2 linked regions of the Macaca mulatta genome follow. Each later gene encodes a partner of the first gene's protein in a complex. Links are inferred from orthologs where the notes say so. Each region holds a gene or a part of one and is shown on either strand. Other genes may lie near its edges.

The links. Proteins that work in one complex are often made in the same cells at the same time.
Region 2: the proteins of CDK2 (region 1) and CDKN3 are in contact, whole or in part, in a crystal structure (PDB 1FQ1), measured with the Homo sapiens proteins. The link is inferred for Macaca mulatta from reciprocal best matches to the Homo sapiens genes CDK2 and CDKN3. Residues at the interface, in NP_001789.2 of Homo sapiens: Tyr15, Glu42, Thr158, Tyr159, Thr160, His161, Val163, Val164, Leu166, Leu174, Gly176, Asp206, Ser207, Glu208, Ile209, Leu212, Asp235, Lys237, Phe240; in NP_005183.2 of Homo sapiens: Phe53, Lys54, Asp55, Arg57, Tyr87, Asp110, Gly111, Tyr141, Gly142, Gly143, Leu144, Gly145, Arg146, Ser147, Arg172, Ser177, Gly178, Ile180, Gln181, Thr182, Ile183, Lys184, Tyr186, Asn187, Glu191.

Annotation. Positions count from the first base shown.
Region 1 is NC_133416.1:63,108,279-63,118,563, reverse strand, and holds CDK2 (cyclin-dependent kinase 2), read right to left. Parts: upstream 6,318-10,285; coding exon 6,202-6,317; intron 5,460-6,201; coding exon 5,382-5,459; intron 5,272-5,381; coding exon 5,151-5,271; intron 4,549-5,150; coding exon 4,378-4,548; intron 3,845-4,377; coding exon 3,743-3,844; intron 2,750-3,742; coding exon 2,606-2,749; intron 2,304-2,605; coding exon 2,100-2,303; intron 1,827-2,099; coding exon 1,722-1,826; 3' UTR 1,431-1,721; downstream 1-1,430. Other genes in the region: melanocyte protein PMEL, read left to right, coding at 6,316-6,648, 7,259-7,385. UniProt on the Homo sapiens protein: Serine/threonine-protein kinase involved in the control of the cell cycle; essential for meiosis, but dispensable for mitosis. Phosphorylates CABLES1, CTNNB1, CDK2AP2, ERCC6, NBN, USP37, p53/TP53, NPM1, CDK7, RB1, BRCA2, MYC, NPAT, EZH2.
Region 2 is NC_133412.1:127,507,652-127,517,980, reverse strand, and holds the start of CDKN3 (cyclin-dependent kinase inhibitor 3), read right to left. Parts: upstream 5,050-10,329; 5' UTR 4,998-5,049; coding exon 4,989-4,997; intron 2,209-4,988; coding exon 2,126-2,208; intron 655-2,125; coding exon 599-654; intron 1-598. UniProt on the Homo sapiens protein: May play a role in cell cycle regulation. Dual specificity CC phosphatase active toward substrates containing either phosphotyrosine or phosphoserine residues. Dephosphorylates CDK2 at 'Thr-160' in a cyclin-dependent manner.

The DNA of each region.
Region 1 (10,285 bases):
GGTGGCCGGCGGGCGGTCTGAGATGTTTTTTGTTGGAGTGAGACAATGGCAACTACAAGAAGTGGTAGCTTGGAGACGCTTTTTCAGAATCGTATGTAAATGTAAATAAAATAATCTTTGGAAAACTTTGCTGTTTGTGATATGAAACAGAAAGGAAAAAGGGCGGGCTTACTGGGAAATGCAGTGTCGAGAGGCAAATTCCCCGGGAGCCCTTTTCCTGCCGCTATGTATGTGCATGGGGGTGTGTGTGTGTGCATATATGGTGTGTATGTGGTGTGTTGTGTGTGTGTGGTATGTTGGCTGGGGGAAAGGAAGTTTGCTGGTGTGTGGAGAAAGTAGGAAGTATATAGACTTCAGTTTCCCCAGCCATAAATAGGAACGATAATAACCACTTTGTTCACTGTCAGCACTAGCCAAAATGGGGTGGGGTGGGTGGCCATGCACAGAGAGATTAGGAAAAGGGGTCCGAAATCAATGATCACATATACATATTCATATTCTGTTTCTCACCATTCTTTCAGTAAATAGGAAAGAGATGAACTATAAAACTAGGCACATTTTTTTAATGAACTACAAACTAAATTACAAATAACGTTAATAGCAAGAGCACTCAAGGACAAGGGTGACAGAAACAAATCATAAACAAAAAAAAATGCTTTTTTTTTTTTTAAGCACTGTCATTACAAAACCCGAAGGTGCACATGGCAACAAATCCACCCACTCTAACCAAAAAAAAAAAAAAAAAAAAAAAAAAAGCCAACCTTACTATGGGATATAACCTGAAATATAAATATAATTGTTCATCCGTCTTTTAAAGAAATATTTTTGCCCATGCCCTCACTCAATCACAGCCCTGAAAAAGTGTCAGTACTCTCAAAATGATGCCTAAACCCTAATTTCCGACTCCTATGGGGTAGGAGGTGGACTTCAGAGGAAAACGGGATCAGGGATCCCTGGCAACTGAAGAACTAAGAATACTAAAAGGAAGAGAAAAATTCAAACATCTCTCACCTGCCTCATAAGGCCATGGTGAAGCAATAGATTGGAATGAAGCACAATCCCTGTCCCAGGGCCTCCCAAATTCCTCATGCCTGTAGAAGGGACAAACAAGGGGACTGGGGCCAATCATTTTTCTGCAGCCCCACCCAGGCTGAGTCTTGAGTCTCCCAGCCTATTAGGTGAGGCAGAACACTAACTAGGGTATAAACTGATTGGATCTATTTTTTCAACCGAATTCTTTAAAATAGACTCCTCCCAGTGGTTTTGTTTGACTTGGTTTTCAAAAGTTCCAACTTAGCCCCCTGCTATCATTTGGCCTTTACAAACATTGCGGCAGCAGGAGGCTTGGGATCCTGGTCATCTCAAACACTGGAAATAATAATTATGGGGCATTCAGAGATTGGTACGGCAAATCTAACATGTAGGAAGGCTTTTTTTTTTTTTTTTTTTTTAATAGCAACCCTCTTCAGCAGTAACTAAGAGAAGGGAGAAAGGGTGGTGGAGGCTAACTTAAGTGCATCTAATACTGAAACTTCCTTTCATTTTCACTGGTTCCTCCCTTTCACCCCTGTATTCCCAGAGTTGGCTGGCCAAGACTAGAAGGTGAGTGTTTAAGGCAAGATCAGAGGGCCCACCTGAGTCCAAATAGCCCAAGGCCAAGCCAGGTCAAGCCCACACTGGAGCAGAGGGTGAGATTAGGGCTGGGGGCTTCGAGAAGGCTATCAGAGTCGAAGATGGGGTACTGGCTTGGTCACATCCTGGAAGAAAGGGTGAGCCAGGGCTGCCTTGGCCGAAATCCGCTTGTTAGGATCGTAGTGCAGCATTTGCTAGAGGGAGAGATGTATGTTGACTTCAATCATGTGATAGTGGACTAAATGGGCAGCAAATGTTCCCAGAAATCAGGAAACCAGAACTCCTTCTACCCAAGGCGGAATTCTTACTTCCATCCTCCCATAGCTGAACCAGTGTGCCAACAGGGAGAGCAGGAACCAGGGAAACAAAATACTGAGGCCCAGATTTCAGGGTCTCATCCTTCCTTCATCCTGGAAAAGCCCTTCCCTGGGAGAAATGAATGAGGGAAAACAGGTGCCCACTCTCACCGATAACAAGCTCCGTCCATCTTCATCCAGGGGAGGTACAACTTTACTAAAATCTTGCCGGGCCCACTTGGGGAAACTTGGCTTGTAATCAGGCATAGAAGTAACTCCTGGCCACACCACCTCATCTGGGGTCCCCAGAGTCCGAAAGATCCGGAAGAGCTGGTCAATCTCAGAATCTCCAGGGAATAGGGCCCGGCGAGTCACCTGAAAATGGGGAAAGAGAAAATACCAAGACCTATGTTGAAGTCAGTCAAAACTCTCCTCTATACAAAGGAGTTCCCACAGACAGTAGAAGGTCAGCAGGGCCCCATGACTCCCTCCCCAGGGCCTTTCATGGGGTCAGTCACACAGAACCTGAGACAATGAAGTCCCTTCATCTGTCTCCTCGCCCCCTCCTTCCTTCCCCCAACCATGGCTTTGCAGATCCCCAAGGCTGGGTGGGTCTGGGAGGGGCTGAATGTCTGCGATGCCACTGACATGTAGCAAAGGGATCCCAAGCCACTCACGGGGTATGGGGTAGACACTGCAGTCATCCCCCAACCTTGTGATGCAGCCACTTCTAGATAGGAGCACAGCGGGCAGAGGCTCTGTCTTCCATTTCTTCTGTGTTCCCCACAGTACCTAGCATGGTGCTGGCTACCCACTAGGTGCTTAACAAATATTTTTGGATGAATTGAGAGAGGAATACGGACAATTGTAAGGTAATGCACTGGGGGATAAATGCACATTACATATGTACAGGCTAATGGTCTTTAAGCTGTTGGTTACAACCCAGATAAAAGACAATAAAACATATTGCTGATTTGAAGCCTCAGCCTACTGCACTGCACTGTTGTATTAAAGGAGATAGGAGCTTCTACATAAAGCCAGGCCTCAAGGATCCTTCAATCTGAAAAGCCAGAGGTTGAAGGGGGACATGATCTAAATCTTTTTTTTTTTTTTTTGAGATGGAATCTCGTTCTGTCGCCCAGGCTGGAGTGCAGTGGTGCGATCTTGGCTCACTGCAACCTCCATCTCCTGGGTTCAAGCGATTCTCCTGCCTTGGCCTCCCAAGTAGCTGGGATTACAGGTGTGTGCCACCACACCTGGCTAATTTTTGTATTTTTAGTACAGATGGGGTTTCACCATTTTGGCCAGGCTGGTCTCGAACTCCTGACCTCAGGTGATCCACCTATACCTCAGCTTCCCACAGTGCTGGGACTATAGGTGTGAGCCACTGCACTCTGCCTAAATCTGCAATTTAAATGAAGGGTGTGGATAAAGTGACCACAATTGTCTTCACTACATTGCTGGCACCACACAATAAGGTCTACAAGCCTTGAAATGAAGGCCTGAAATAAAAGAGGCACTAAATGGAATCATTCTCCCAAATATATGCAGACTCAGCTAAAATGGCTGCAGAAATGCTTTATGTCATTTCAGGGATAAGAGAAGTATACTAGGTACTAAGGCTGTTTGAGGATATCCTAACATTGTGGTTGATATTGGGGCAACAGTTGCATCCTTTCCCACCATTCCCCTTGGTGCTACTTTAGAGACAGACCCCTGTGATAGAAGGGCCATAGGTCTGGGCCAAGAAACAGTTCTGTTGTTCTTGAATGTGGGGAGGAGGGGGCTGGGTGAACTTGGGCAAGCCTCCATACCATCTCAGCAAAGATGCAGCCCAGGCTCCAGATGTCCACGGCTGTGGAGTAGTATTTGCAGCCCAGGAGGATTTCAGGAGCTCGGTACCACAGGGTCACCACCTGAGGGACAGGAATAGGGAGAGGTGGAGTGGTTTATAGGGTATGGAGATTCCCACATCTCAGTTCCCCAACACTACTCTGCTAACTCATGGCCTCTTAACAAGCAGTTTCCTTCCCTCCCTCTTTCCCCTCTCACTGATTTCCAGTCCATAGTTCCGGAGACCATATTTTCTGAACCCCCAATTTGAGATCTTCCTGGAAAAACTTGAGACAAATGGTCATAATTTGATTTCGAAATTTTTTCTTTTTGTAGATTTGTAGAGATGGGGTCTCGCTATGTTGCCCATGATGGTCTCGAACTCCTGGGCTCAAGTGATCCTCCCACTTCAGCCTCCCAAAGTACTGGTATTACAGGCGTGAGCCCAGTTAGCAACACAGTATGAATTCCATGCATGCCCTAAGACTCTTGAAGATGTCAAGAGATTATTTCTACCTAGTAAGAAACTGTTAGCCAGATATTTTTAGTAAATTTGTGAATACCCTAGTTAACACCTCTTGGGAAGCTCAGAGAAGAAAGGCATAAAGGGACTCACCTCATGGGTGTAAGTACGAACAGGGACTCCAAAAGCTCTGGCTAGTCCAAAGTCTGCTAGCTTGATAGCCCCCTCTGTGTTAATAAGCAGATTCTGAGGCTTAAGGTCTCGGTGGAGGACCCGATGAGAATGGCAGAAAGCTAGGCCCTGGAGCAGCTGGAACAGATAGCTCTGACAAAGAAGAAAGAGAGGACTGTGTTTCTCCATCACAGTGAGCAGACTGGGTTTGCTCTGTGACCCCAAAACTCTACTAAAGCCTTTACTATGTTGGATTATAGTTACATATTTACAAGCTATTTCTCCCAATGGACTGTCAGCCCAGAGAGGATAAGGACCAAGTCTTACTCAATTTTGCTTCCCTTTTCTACATGCTGTGCATTGAACAAATGTTTGTTAATAAAGTAGCTCTGGGAGTGAAGAATCCAGCCCTAAAATAGACAATAGAGACTTACTAGCTGGTTCTTCCACCAAACAGAAGGGCTTTTTGGAGGAATTTACCAAGTGCTCTCAAATCCCATTTATCTGAGTTTCATCTGACCTCCCACCTGAGTTGCTAGGTTGACTCACTAGAGTTTCAACTTTGATTGTTCAGTCCAACCCTAGGGTTAATGAATATAATGAGCAGGGAAGGAGACACAAAAAGAAGGGGAGTGTGTGTGTGTAGGAGATGAGGGCTCAGAAGGAGGCCAAGATCATAAAATATCACCCTGAATTGCCTGCCACCAGTACCCCAAGACATGCCCATGATGGGAGGAGCTGATGAGAAGCATTACCTTGATGAGGGGAAGAGGAATGCCAGTGAGAGCAGAGGCATCCATGAATTTCTTGAGATCTTGGTGCAGAAATTCAAAAACCAGGTAGAGTTTATTTTCTGTGTGAATGACATCCAGCAGCCTAGAGAAGTAAAGTTTGAGGAAATGGAGGTGCGAGAGAGAGAAAAGCCCACACTGTACAGACAACTCATCCTCCTTTCCAGCTGGATTGCCTCTCAGACACATACTCACTTGACAATATTAGGATGGTTAAGCTCCTTAAGCAGAGAGATCTCTCGGATGGCAGTACTGGGCACACCCTCAGTCTCACTTGGAGAGGTTGGGAAAGCAGAGACGGGAATATGGTTACAAATATTCCTTTTTCCCCCACCTAGTCATTTCTTTCCCCCAAGGAGACACCACCCAGCACCCCCTAGGAAAGTCAGAGAAAAGAAAGGGTGCTGGAAAGAGCTAATTCTTGGGTAGTCAGGGTGTGGCTTTTGCACATATTAAGGTCATTATCTTGTCTTTTCCCAGGGGTAGGTAAGTAAAGCCGTCTGGTGAAGGTAAAGCAGGGAGGCTGTAATGGGGAAAAAAAAAAAAAAAAAGCAGGAGTAGTCCCCAGTCTCTCCAGAGGGGCCAGTGAGGTTCAACTGCCATTCTTTGGAAAGAGGAGAGAATTCTAAGGTGAGGGTGGGGCAGTGAGGAGAGCTCTTCATTCAGAAAGGCGCTCCTCGCCGGTTCCCACATAACTCCACTCCATGGAGAGTCTTGGACCTCATCTCAGAGGCCTCCTTTCTCTCCCCGAGTCTCTGTGTTCGCACATTTGGGGGCACGATCCGGCTCAGTTTGGGAAGAAAGTTTTCCATGGATTCCACACCATCCTATACTCTCCCCAGGGAGTATAAGTATACACTCCACCTTCTACTGGCCCCCAACCCACCTCTCCACTTCTAAAGAAGTCCGTCCCTGTTGTCTTCCGGTCCCTGGACGGCTACCCGCCCGTGGGGGATTGGGGGGGGACAGTCAAGGAGGTCCCCAGTTAGGAGTCCCGGGTACAGAGGCCACTCACGTGTCCAGGCGGATTTTCTTAAGCGCCACCACTTCTCCCGTCAACTTGTTTCTGGCTTTGTACACAACTCCGTACGTGCCCTCTCCGATCTTTTCCACCTTTTGGAAGTTCTCCATGAAGCGCCAGCGAGTCGGGTCAGCCCGGCCCTGGAGTGGGGGCCTGGGAACCCTGCAGAAGGCGGACCCTGGCTCTCGGGGGCCGAGGAGGGGGAAACAGGGCCCAGTATCGTGCCCCCGGGTCGGGATGGAACGCAGTATACCTCTCGCTCTTGTCAATTTGGCCAACTTGAAACAATGTTGCCGCCTCCCCCCGAGTTCCCGACCGCCACCAGAAGCCCCGCCCCTGCTTCCCGCGTTTCCCTGGCTCCGCCCCCAGGCATTTCTATTGGTCAACGTCAGAGCCGGGGGGCGAGTGCAGCGCTCCTCCCCGCAAATGACCCCGCCCCAGGCAAGTTTGGTTCTTCGGGGGCTAGACAAATTTCTTTCTCGGTGGGGCGGCTGAACAGTCTTCCCAAGTACCTACTTTGGGTCCAAGTTTCCTACCTGTGTCTCTAGTCTGTAGGGATTTCTTGATTTCTAACTCACTATTTTCACCACTCCTGGGGAAAATATGTATCGACCTAAGGTTAAATTCCACCTGGCCCAGGAGCCTCCTTTGAAAAGCAGGAAACTAGGAATCTCGTTGTAAAGAATTCCTGGGCCTCAGAGGAGTCATTGCCTCTGCCTCATAGCCTACCCCGACGCTGTCTGTGTTTTGGGATGCAGGCTTCTGTTTCTGTTTTTTTGAGAAGTTCCTGGTTTAATTCACTCTCCCATGATGAACTGTTGTGTCTGGTATGTGTTATGCAGCTGCCTTTCAGTCAGCCCTTGCCCGGGAGTATATGAGAGTGACCCAGTGAAACCAGAAACTGCCATTGAGTAGCAGGATGGGAAAGCAATGTCTAGGGACCAGGATCCCTTTGTCAGTTTTTCCTTCTTCCTCTTCTCTGGCCCCTCCCAGGCCTTCTCTGAGGGAGAAGAGGAAGGGCTATGCAAATGAGCACCCTTTTCTTATATAGGGGCCTATCCCAGTCCCCCCAGTGCCTTTGGTTGCTGGAGGGAAGAACACAATGGATCTGGTGCTAAAAAGATGGCTTCTTCATTTGGCTGTGATAGGTGCTTTGCTGGCTGTGGGGGCTACAAAAGGTATGTGTGGATATGTGGACATAAGCAGGTGTGAACTTGGGGATGAATTCCCCCTGCTCTGGTTTCTCTCCTCCTAATGGGAGATAGCGGCAATATTTCAGGCGTCTCCCACTCATTTGATTTAGTGAGAATGTGGGCACCTGGGCTCCCTCCCTACATGGAGATTTGGGATTGAGCCTGAAAATAATCTCATATGCTTGGAGGGGCAGAAGAATAGAAGGTCTCTGTGGCACTGATTCTGAGGCTTCCTTGGCAGTGAGCTGGAGCAGGGGCTCCAAAGGGGTGAAATGTGCGGGAGACTCTTTTAAGAAATGTCTCTTGGGGTAGGAGATTTAAAGTGGGGAGTCAGAGAATGTAGTATTGGGTAAGAAGACTAAGGAGATACAATCCTCTCCCCTTGGGATGGGTACGGGTGAACACAGCCCAGACCTTTTGTTCTGGGGCTGGGAGAGATAGGCAGAGGGGTCTCAGCTGAGCATCACATGAAAGGGCTCTGGGGGATTGGGCCTCGTGACAGGAGCAAGGGGAGGGGGTGAGGTGGTGAGAGGGTCTGGAATGTCCCGTGCTGCTCTGAGGAGAGTTGGAAGTGGAGAATGAATGGGGTATCTTATGACTTATCTTGCTCTAGTGGTGGGATGCTCAATGAGATGATTCCAGATCCTCCCCCAGCAGAATCAACTAGGGTTACAACACACATTACAAAGGGGATGAGGCCGGGCGTGGTGGCTCACGCCTGTAATCCCAGCACTTTGGGAGGCCGAAGTGGGTGGATCACGAGGTCAGGAGTTCGAGACCAGCTTCGCCAATATGGTGAAACCCCGTCTCTACTAAAAGTACAAAAATCAGCTGGGCATGGTGGCGCATGCCTGTAGTTCCAGCTACTCGGGAGGCTGTGGCAGGAGAATCACTGGAACCCAGAAGGTGGAAGTTGCAGTGAGCCAAGATCACACTACTGTACTCCAGCCTGGGTGACACAGCGAGTCTTCGTCTCGAAAAAAAAAAAAGAAAAGAAAGGGGATGAGGCCTGGCACAGTAACTCATGCCTGTAATCCTAGCACTTTGGGAGGCTGAGGTGGTTGGATCACTTGAGGTCAGACCAGCCTGGCAAATATGGCGAAACCCCATCTCTACTAAAAATGCAAAAATTAGGTGGGCATGGTGGTGCGCCCCTATAATCCCAGCTACTTGGGAGGCTGAGGCACGAGAATCACTTGAACCTGGGAGGCAGAGGTTGAAGTGAGCTGAGATCACACCACTGCATTCCAGCCTGGGCAAAAGAGCAAGACTCTGTCTCAAAAAAATAAAAAAGAAAGGAAATGAGGAGGCTCACACCTGTAATCCTAGCACTTTGGGAGGCTGTGGCCATAGGATTGCTTGAGCCCAGGAGTTCAAGACCAGCCTGAGCAACATAGTGAGACCCTGTCTCTACAAAAAGTAAAAAAATTAGCCAGGCCTAGGCCGGGCATGGTGGCTCATGCCTGTAATCCTAGCACTTTGGAAGGCCAAGGCAGGTGGATCACCTGAAGTCGGGAGTTTGAGACCAGCCCGATCAACATAGAGAAACCCAGTCTCTACTAAAAATACAAAATTAGCTGGGCATGGTGGCGCATGCCTGTAATCCCAGCCACTCAGGAGGCTGAGGCAGGAGAATCGCTTGAACCCAGGACGTGGAGGTTGTAGTAAACCGAGATCGCGCCATTGCACTCCAGCCTTCCAGCCTGGGCAACAAGAGCGAAACTCTGTCTCAAAAAGAAAAAAAAATATATTATCTGGGCCTGGTAGTGAGCACCTGTGGTCCTAGCTACTTGGGAGGCTAATCAGGAAGATGGCTTCAGCCCAGGAGTTTGAGGGTGCAGTGAGTGAGTGATGAATGTGCCACTGCACTCAGGGTGAGAGAGCAAAACCCTGTATCAAAAGGAAAGGAAAAGGAAAAGGAAAGGGGAAAGAAAAGGGGAAAGGGAAGGAAGTTTCTGCAGGAAAGGGAAAAATGGGGTGAGGGTAGTTTTTGCTGTCCTGAAATATATACAGATAGGAGGGGAGGGGAGAGAGGTTTCTGCAGGAAAGGGGAAAATGGGGTGAAAGTAGTTTCTGCTGTGCTGAAATATATGCATTATATCCCAGCCCCGCTTTCTCCCTAGATGCTTAGTCTCACAGATTTCTAGGAAGTTCTTGATCTGACTTTCCTCACTGTGCTGCAGTTTCAAGTCTTTTTCTTTTACTACATTCCTTAATGTATCCTGGAAAGAGTCTGTTCACACCCACCCACCCAAGGCTCTTAAAAAAAGATTGTGCTTATATTTCGGATCCTGATTTTAAAAATCATAAGACATTTTTCTAGATATTAATGAAATTTTATATGGACTGAGTTTGATAATTTTGTCTAGCATGAAATGACATTGTACTTATGCAAGAAAATACTCATATTTTTAAAATTTGTAGGGTTAATACAATGTTTGGGATTTGCTTTTACATACTTTAGCCAAAACAAAAACAACAACTAGTAAGGATAAACAAAGCAAATGTGGCAAGGTGTCGATAGTTGTTGGACCTGGGTAGGGCAGATGGAGGTCCAGCATATCCTTTTCTTCTCAGACTTCTCTTGGTCAGTTACAATAATTTTGTCTACCCTGTCCCCATGCCCAATCTCTGCCAGCCTCTAATCCATCCTCCTCACTGCTTGCCATCATGATCTTTCTAAAACACAAATTTGATCATATTCAAAAGTAAATTTTTTTTTTTGAGACGGAATCTTGCTCTGTCGCCCAGGCTGGAGTGCAGTGGCGTGATCTCGGCTCACTTCCACCTCCGTCTCCCGGGTTCAAGCAATTCTCCTGCCTCAGCCTCCTTAGTAGCTGGAACTACAGGTGCCTGCCACCACGCCCAACTAATTTTTGTATTTT
Region 2 (10,329 bases), on another chromosome or scaffold:
TGGAGTGCAGTGGTGCGATCTTGGCTCACTGCAACCTCTGCCTCCTGGATTCAAGCAATTCTCTTGCCTCAGCCTCCCGAGTAGCTGGGACTACAGGCACGCATCACCATGCCCAGCTAATTTTTGTATTTTTAGTAAAGACAGGATTTCACCATGGTTTCCAGGATGGTCTTGATCTTCTGACCTCATGATCTGGCACCTTGGCCTCCCAAAGTGCTGGGATTATGGGTGTGAGTGACTGCACCCAGCCACTGGAGACTATTATTCTAAGTGAAGTAACTCAGGAATGGAAAACCAAACATCACATGTTCTCGCTCATAAGTGGGAGGTAAACTTTGAGGACACAAAGGCATAAGAATGATACATTGGACTTTGGGAGCTGGGGGGGAACAGGTGGGAGGGGGATGAAGGATAAAAGACTACGCATTGGGTACACTATACACTGCTCTGGTGATGGGTGCACCAAAATTTCAGAAATCGCCACTAAAGAACTTATTCATGTAACCAAACACCACCTGTTCCCCCAAAAGCTACTGCAATAAAAATAAATTAAAAAATACATATGTAGAGAGAGGAAGCCCATTATTGTGTTACCCACCTGGAAGAGCACATAAACCGAGAAACTGAGAACAATTCACTCGTGACAAAGATAGCCTGAAAAGTAGAAAAATTTATCACGTTTAGTTAAGTTTTTAAAAAAGTTATAAATGGAAATTCAGTTTAATCAATATGGGTGCTTGCACCAAATAAGGGTGTGTTAAAGTTTTACAGTAGTCACAAAATAAGAATTCATAGTTAAATATCAATATGTTGGTCACACACAAAAAATAGAAAGACAAAGTTTTAAAACAGGGACTTATTTGTTGGTTATTATTTAAGCATTAAAAATGACAAATGGCTCATGCCTATGATCCCAGCACTTAGAGAGGCCAAGGCAGGCAGGCTGTTTGAGCCTAGGAGTTTGAGACCAGCCTGGGCAACATGGTGAAATCCTGTCTCTACAAAAACAATAAAACAAAAAGCCAAGTTAATTTAAATTTACCTTAAAGATAATAATGTCTAGATTGCCAAAAGGTAGTATATGGTGTACTTATGTTATCCTGTGGTATATTACCTGAGATAATTTGTATTAGTGATTTAGGAAAATAAATTGGAAAATGACTGACAATTTTCTCCCCAGCATTTATTCTACGTTACTATTAAAAAATTTTTTTTTGTAGAACTTCCTTAACAGATATGATTTCATATGATGAAAACCACAGGTTTTTGGTTAAAAAGAAATAACATCAAGAAATCACATTCCCAGTCTGCAGCACTCAGGGACAGAGGCTCACCTTGTCTGCATGTCAGAAGATGATTTAACGGAAAACAGGAGGCATCATCTAAATACCACCTGACTTTGAAAATTCGATGAATTTTTGTGTTTAAATGGGAGTTTTAAGTAAAAATGGAAGGTTTAATGCTATTTGATGGTAGGACAAAAGACCTTTAGGACTGTCTTTCTCTTCTGACAGTAGGGATGGTGCTTTCTTAAGGAGAGAGACTATTATATTTGCGGTGATGAGAGAAAGTATTTGATTGCTCATTGTAGAGAATCTGGTATAACCATAAGTCACTTGCCAAGATTAAACGGCTGATTTTATGTAGAAACTTTTTGTTATTGCATTGATGTGGCTTTTATCTTAAACAGTCTGTTGATAGATGCATTACTGTGACATTACTTCTAAGTATTACCTAGGATTTGATTTAATGAGAAATGATTAAATATCTCATCTCATATTTGGTATATTATTCTTTTGTCATAAAAGAATAAGTAGATTTTGGTACTAAATGGGAGATTATTTCAATCCTACCTCTATTTCTTACTTACTTGCTTCTACTAAGGTTTTCTCAACATATAAAGAAGGGCCAAAAAAAAAAGGGTCTTTTTCTATATTATAGACAGTAAATGAATCATGGAGTTAGAAGATCCATTAACAATTAGAATTATATAATCAGAGGGGGATAAACCCTTAATGTTTTCAATATGTGAACTACATTCTACTAAGATTATGATGTAACTAAATTTACATTTATGATGTAGATTGTGACTTTAGCTCATCATTGATCAGAAATGCTAACATACCATGATATCTGAATTGGAGTCTGTTCATCTTCAATAGGCTCTTCGTCTGATGAGTCAAACTCACTTGTTTGTATTGAACTAGGCTTCAAAAGAAATGTTATGTTAAATAACTGTAAAGAATTTTTCTGTAGTTTTAGGATAGCTAGTCCTTGTCTAAACACACACTGAATTCATATTTGCAATGTATTCAGTCATCAATCCAGAATATCACCGAGATCAGCAATATTAGTAATAAATGACTGCTATTTACCTTTCTATTAATAATTACAGCACTGCATAGTGGAAAGAGAGTTGGATTGGGAACCAAGACATCTGGCTTCTGATCTTGGTTCTGCCACTTACTGTATACTCTCTGACAAGCTACTTCAGTTGATTCTGGATCTCAGTTTTCCTCAACTATAAAGTGAGGAGATTTATTCATTCACAAATATTTCTTGACCACCTTCATTTGCCAAGCACTGGAGATGCAAAAGATCTATAAGATAGATAGCCTGCCTTCAGTATGGCTGGAGAGATAGATGTGTGCATAGATTACAGAAGAAAGGTATTATGTAAGTGCTGAAATGGAAGCAGAACTATATATTGTGGAGCAGAGAAGAGAGTGACTGACCATGTAGGGAGCTGTAGAAGGATTCACAGAGGAAATGCTTTAGCTGGGTTTTGAAGGAAGAGCAGGTTTTTAAGAAGATAGGAAAGGGAGCGTGCGGTGGCTCATGCCTGTAAATCTCAGCACTCTGGGAGGAGAAGGCGGGCGGATCACCTGAGGTCAGGAGTTTGAGACCAGCCTGGCTAACATGGCAAAACCTGGCTCTACCAAAAATATAAAAATTAACTGGGCGTGGTGGCACATGCTTATAATCCCAGCTACTCAGGAGGCTGAGGCAGGAGAATCGCTTGAACCCAGGAGGCAGCGGTTGCAGTGAGCCAGGAACACACCACTGCACTCTAGCCTGGGCAACAGGGCATGACTCTGTCAAAAAAAGAAAGGAAAGAAGGTAAGCCAAGGCCCTTGTATTGAGGAACTGTGATATCAAAATAGAGATGGAGTAGAGGAGATGAAGAAGTAGTTTTGCCCATCCCTTTTCTCAAAAAACAATCCCCACATCGCCTAGTAGTTTGGTGGGGGTGGTGTAGGTGAAATAACCTGCCAGTTTTATGAATCACTAGAGAGATTGAGACAGACTTTGTATGCTGATCTAAGCAGCTGGAACTTAATCCTGCAGCATTTTGACATGGAAGACTTCTACACTCCCTGCTGAAATTTTAAAGAATCAAAAGAAAAAGAAAAAGAAAAAGAAAAACAAAATAGAACAGAACAAAACCCATACCCTTTTCTCACTCCCTAGTTGAAACCAATTGAAAGATAAGGAAATGGAGCTTTATTATTGTATATCAAATGGAGTATGCAGCTTAAAGCTGTTGCCACATGCGCCTGCCCCTTGTTCAACCCAGAATTAGACAAATGTATCCACCCAGTCACAGGTGGCCATGGACAGTCTAGGGCTCCTGTGTGCCAGAGAGTGGACCAGAAAGCACCTTCTGCAGGCAGGCAGGTAGCTCCCAAGAGAGAAGGAAAGAAAAAGTTGAGATACTGGTGTTCGGTTCCTTCCAAACTCAGGGATCAGATAACTCAATAGGGACAGGTGGAGAAACAGGCCAGGAGTGAAGGACAGCTGATGTCCCTCCACATGGCAACATAGGGCGTAGCAAGTGTAACCACCTAATGCCCTTTCTAGCTCTGAAGCTGTATTTTACAACGGTCTTGGTACTGAAGATCACAGGACGGCCAATTTAGGCTATGTATTTTATTTTTTTCTTTCTTTTTCTTGAGACAGCGTTTTGCTCTGTTGCCCAGGCTGGAGGGCACTGGCGTGATATTAGCTCACTGCAACCTCTGCCTCTTGGGTTCAAGCTATTCGCGTGGCTCAGCCTCCTGAGTAGCTGGGACTACAGGCGTGCACTACCACGCTCAGCTAATTTTTGTATTTTTAGTAGAGAATGGGTTTCACCGTGTTGGCCAGGCTGGTCTCCAACTCCTGGCCTCAAGTGATCCGCCCGCCTTGGCCTCCCAAAGTGTTGGGATTAGAGGCGCGAGCCACCACCCAGCCCTAGGCTATGCATTTCTATTGCTTTGGCTCCATCTGAAGTATTATAATACACTGCACCCAAAGGAAAGGCTTCCAGTAGGTTGTCAACCCCGGCAGTAGGAAATATGGGTTAGGTGGGGGATCTTCAGCGTCTTGCCTGCATCTGCTTTTTCTTTAAAGCAGCTTTAATGATTCATATTTCAAATTTGTGGGGCCCATTCACCAGGTTTATTCATCCTAACAGAGCTGGACGTTTCTGCTTCCCCAGGCCCGGTGATTCTGAACGTCACGGGAAAAGGGCAGCATTGCCAAGTGGCCCTGGGGCATGGTGACAGCGGTGGTGTCGCCCACAAGCCGCGGCGTGGCATTCGTACTCATGGTTTCCCCAGTGGGCGCAGGGCAGCGGCCGGACGCCCTTCGGGGTTGGGGTATCGCGCCCACTCATCGCTGACACTCAAGTTCCTCGACTCGGTTTCCTCGGTACAACGAGGCTCGGCCTTCGTTGGCTGGGAGGCTTATGAGACCCCGCAGGGGACAGGCGACAGCCCACAGCAGGTGCACAGCGAATGTCCGTCTTTCCTTCGTCGGCCACCGACCCTGCTCCTTCGTCTCTAGTGCCCGTGCGTGGCAAAGTCACCTCCCCGACCCACAGGACGGTTATGGCGCAAGTCGCAGTGCTACCAGGCTACGGCTGCCCTCCGGCCCAGGATCGGGTCCCCGGGACCGCTTGCGTCCCTGCCGCCTCGCTCCTCCAAGCCCCAGCACGTCCGACTCACCGGCTTCATCGCTGGCCGCCCCAAGTCGAGACCAGTGCCGCCTCTCTCTGCAGCGCCGGCGACTCACCGGTGTCCGGGCCGAGCCCGCGCCCCCTCCGCTTAGCTCACTGGTTCGTCCTCCTGTGAGGTGGGCGCGGCGTCTTCCAGCAACCAATCAGATCCGCTCCTAGCTTCTTACTCCTCCTTCGGATGTCCGAAGGCTCGGCCTCTAATCGCTGATTGGTTCCTAGAAGACCTTTGAAAGACGCGCGGGAGGCGGGCCCTGTGGGACGTTGATTGGCTGGGAGGGCGCCCTCCTCCCGCCAGTTGGGAGAGTGCAGAGGGCGGAGGCGGGGCGGAAGAGTCAGAAGGCGGCCCTAGAACTTGCGGGACGCTGGAAAACTTTGCTTTCTGATGGCTGGAAGTCAGCGTGGTCCATAGGTTTGAGAGGTGTTTTTTGTTGTTTGTTTGTTTGTGGTGGAGTTCGCTTTTGTAGTCCAGGTTGGAGTGCAATGGCGCCATCTCGGCTCACCGCAACCTCCACCTCCCGGGTTCAAGCGAGTCTCTTGGCTCACCCTCCCGAGTAGCTGGGATTACAGGCATGCATGTGCCACCAAGCCTGGCTAAATTTTGTATTTTTCGTAGAGATGGGGTTTCTCCATGTTGGTCAGGCTGGTCTCGAACTCGGGTTGGGAGTTTTTGTGTTTATGACGGAGGTCTTACTATGTTGCCCAGGCTGGCCTTGAACTCCTGGCCTCAAGGAATCCTCCCGCCTTAGCCTCCCTTGTAGCGGCTACGGTAGGCAGTTTTTGTTTCTTTAAGTTGTAATTTTTTTATTTTTTAAGGGCTCAGGAAAGCACTGTATTGGATTGTCACATGAAAAGCATATCACATAGAGTTTGTAATTATATCTAGACATGCAAATACTAGGGAAAAAACTAAAAATCTGGAGTATAAACACATTTTATATGATTGAAGTTTTATTTTCTTTATCATTCCAGAAACTAGTCAAGTTACAGTGTAGATCAATCTTCCTGTCCCCCAAATATGAATTAAATTATATTGTGTGAAAGGGAGATTATAAAATGCCAGGTAAGATAGGTCTAAGGGCCAGTGTTTCTACATAATTAGCTGTAATCTTTTAAAAATGTATTTGAGTATTTCTCCCCCTTCTCCAGTCCCCCTTTAGCCATGGGAAAGGAATTCGTCTGGAGCAGATCTGAGAAAAATATGCAGAAATTTCAGCCCTGATTCATGTTGTGAAAACCAATGGGTATAGAACTATTAGAAGGAATTCCTTAGTAAAGAAGGTATCATAGTTTGACTTAGAGACTATTAGTCAGGGTTGCCCAGAGATAAAGAATGAATAGGATGTGTATGTATGGTTATAGAAACAGATTTATTTTAAGGAATTGGCTTCTGTGCTTGTGGAAGCTTGGTGAGTCCAAAATCTGATGGGGGGAGGCCAGTGTCCTGGAGACTCAGGAAAGGCTGTAATTCGAGTCCAAAAGCTGTTGTAGAACAAAGAAGAGCCAATGTTGCATGTAAAGTCTGAAGGCTGTCTACTGGCGAAATTACCCCTTGCACAGGGCAGGGTCAGACTTTTGTTCTCTTCAGACCTTCAACTGATTGGATGAGGCCCATCCATATTATAGAGGGCAGTCTGCTTTACTCAACATTTCCCAATTTAATGCAAATCTCATCCCAAAACACTTTCACAGAAACATCCAGAATAATGTTTGTCCAAATAACTGGGCACCATGGCCCAGCCAAGTTGATGCACAAAATTAACTATCCTAGAGACCCACAGAGATTTTTCCACACTCAGGAAATCCTTTTAGATCTGTGCTGTTCAATATGGTGACCACATTGGCTGGTATGTCAGGCCAAATTAGAAGACAAAATCAAATCAAAGGCCCAATTAGAACTCAAGGGCTACTTAGGAAATACCTGCTCTCTTACAATATAGGCCTTAGTAGGGTTAAGGAACAGACCACACCCACCACATATTTATAGCTATTGTTTTGATGTGTAAGTTTACATTTCATATTAGAAATGGCCATGGTACTGTGTACAAGAGAATGTAGGTGGGTATGTATGCCTAGACGCAGAGTCCTGCCTTTGGTCAAATAATCAACCAGTATTTAAGGTGCACCTATGTTTTGTTTTATGGCTAGGACCGTAGACTCTTTAAGCGGAGTGGCACAGTTTTAAAATACATTTGCATATATTTGAAAGTAAACCAGGCTGGCCCTGGGTGAACCTGTGAAATACAGTTGGCTGTTGGTGTTTCGGGCTCTCATTCCTCATGTTTGACCCTCCCCTCTCAAAAGCAAGAATCCATAAGGCTGGGCTGGTATGTTGGAGGAAAAGGGAGTGGTGGAAGCATGTGCTACAAGGCCACTGAGGGCTGAACAGTTCCAGAAAGTCGGTGGGCTGTGGAGTGTGTAGGATGGTGAAGCACACTCAGAGGTGTGCATTTGAGTATGCTTAAAAACAAAGTACCCCTGAATGGAGATTGAACTCTAGAATGGGAACCAGGCTGTACCCTTGGAAAAGGGGGCCTGGCCCAGGAAAGTTGAAAACGATAGCGAAAGACCACAAAAACAACTAACATCCAGCCTCACATTCAGTAGAATACGCTCATTTAACCATAGGCATCTTTTGTGTCATTTCCTGGTGGACCATTTTAACCACAGGCTTATTTCCATCCTGATCTCAATATCTTGAGCTCAAGATTTTATAATCAGCCAAACTTTTCCTTCCACTCTCCTCTGTTTATCCGACTGCTGGATGTTGAGAATGCCCACCCTGCCCTATCACCTATCAGCCTGTCTCTGGCCAGCTTCTTCTCTCTCTCTCAGCTCCAGCCCTGACTCCAGCCTCTGCGGAGTGATGATGGTGCTCTTTCTTCCTGGCCTCGTCATTCACTGCCTCAGATCCCTGAGTTTCTGCTGTTTCAACTTTTGTATCCCTCAAACCTGGAACTGCCACTTTTTGCATTTTAAGAACAGCTGGGCTGGGTGCGGTGGCTTATGCCTGTAATCCCAGTGCTTTGGGAGGCCGAGGGCAGGCAGATCATCTAAGGTCAGGAGTTCGAGACCATCCTGGCCAATATGGTGAAACCCCATTTCTACTAAAAATAAAAAATTAGCTGGGCGTGGTAGTGGGTGCCTGTAATCCCTGCTACTCAGGAGGCTGACACAGGAGAATTGCTTGAACCTGGAAGGCAGAGGTTGTAGTGAGCCAAGATCATGCCACTGCACTCCAGTCTGGGTGACAGAGTGAGACTGCATCTCAAAAACAAAACAAAACAAAACAAAACAAAAACAGCTGGATATACTTCTCTACATGCTGCTGTGATTGGGATGGAGACAAGAGAAGGAAGGGAGGAACATGGATGGATGGTACAAGTGGGTAAAGCACAAGAAGTGACTGCTGGGACAGCAAATGCAATCAATTCATCTTTTAATTATGTGTGTAGAGGATTAAATTTTGAAAGACTAATCTACATGTGTTATTTATAGATACTAAAAGTACAGCAAAGGGAAAAAAAGAACTTTAGTGTTATTTTAAAAAATTTTAACTCACTGTTTTATTATATTTTATCCTTTTTTAAATAAACATGAGGAGAAATTGAAAAAAACAGAAGTCTTAACACGTGATAGGAAGCTAAGTATAAACATATTAGAATCAAAATTAAGATAGAAATCTTAAGCACATTCAAAGCAGCAAAGCTTTGTTTCAGTTCAATGTTTAATGAACGTCGCATGGGTCAACCACACGTGAAATTAATTGTTAAGGAAAATAAATAGAAGACAAACATGTACAAAATATCATTAATGAAAATTGTGACCAAAAATGAAGATGTACTGATAAGGATTTTATATTATTTTAAGTTTTCTGGAACGGAGCCCCCAACATCCCATGAATATCTATGTCTTTCACACATTTGGGGTTAGCACAAAAAAAAAACTTTAAATTTTGTTTTGATTTTTTTTTTTTTTTTTTGAGATAGAGTTTTGCTCCTTGTCACCCAGGCTGGAGTGAATGGCACAATCTTGACTCACTGCAACATCTGCTTCCTGGGTTCAAGCGATTCTCCTGCCTCAGCCTCCCGAGTAGCTGGGATTATAGGCACCTGCCATGATGCTGGGCTAATTTTTGTAATTTTTAGTAGAGATGGGATTTCACCATGTTGGCCAGGCTGGTCTTGAACTCCCGATACCAGATGATCCCAGATGATCCGCCTGTCTTGGCCTCCCAAAGTGTTGGGATTACAGGCGTGATCCATGTACCTGGCTATTTTGATTTCTTATAGAGTTGTTAATTATATAAACACCTAATTGCTTGTACTCTTTTGCCAGGCATGTGATTATCTCTGTACATTTTATTTGGTTGGTACAAAACTGTTAATATATGTTTATGCTTCTTTGTTTTTTGCTTATGTATTCCAAATTTAAGAAATTAGGCCAGGTGCAGTGGCTCATGCCTATAATCCCAGCACTTTGCAAGGGAGAGACAAGAGGATTGCTGGAGGCCAGGAGTTCAAGACCAGCCTGGGCAATATATCAAGACCCTGTCTCTACAAAAATTAAAAAAAAAAAAAGCTGGGTATGGTGGCAGGTACCTGTAGTCCTAGCTACTTGGGAGGCTGAGGTGGGAGGATCACTTGAGCCCAGGAGTCTGAGGTTACAGTTAGTTATGATTTTGCCACTGCATTCCAGCATGGGTGACAGCAAGACTCTGCCTCTAAAATTTTTTTTTTTTTAAATAGAGGATATTGCCTTAGTGTGCCTGTGCTGTGTAGAGCTGTTCTGTTAGATACTAGTGGGGGAAGAAAGCTAGAAGAGACTGAGTGATGCTACCAAAGTAAACAGCTGAGTTGAAAAGAGAGTGGAAGGTTCAGGAGGGCTGAAAAGAAGGAAGAATAAATGAGGTGAGGGGGGTCCTCTGGGAACTGAGGACTGGGACTGATACCTGCAGCATCTGGGTCAACAGATGCCCCTCATTCTCTATGTTCAGGGGGGACCCAAAGAACCAAGAGACAATTGCTACCTCCTTGGGTGGTCAGAAAAGGTCATTATAAGAAAAGCTTATTCTGAACCACAGGCAGGAGTGTGTAAAATTCGAAAAGAAAATATATACTTCTTGGCTAGCTGATGGAATAACAATCTGCACTGGACACAGAATGGAGCTCAGTGGTTGGTTAGAGGTTATTGAGAACTAAGTGGTCTTTAAGTAACAATAATTAGTAACAGTTGCCATTTTTTAAAGGGCTTATTATGGGCCAGGTGCTGTTTTAAGATCTTTGCCTGCATCTTTTCTTTTAACTCAGTTTTCCTAAGAGGTGGTTCAAAAA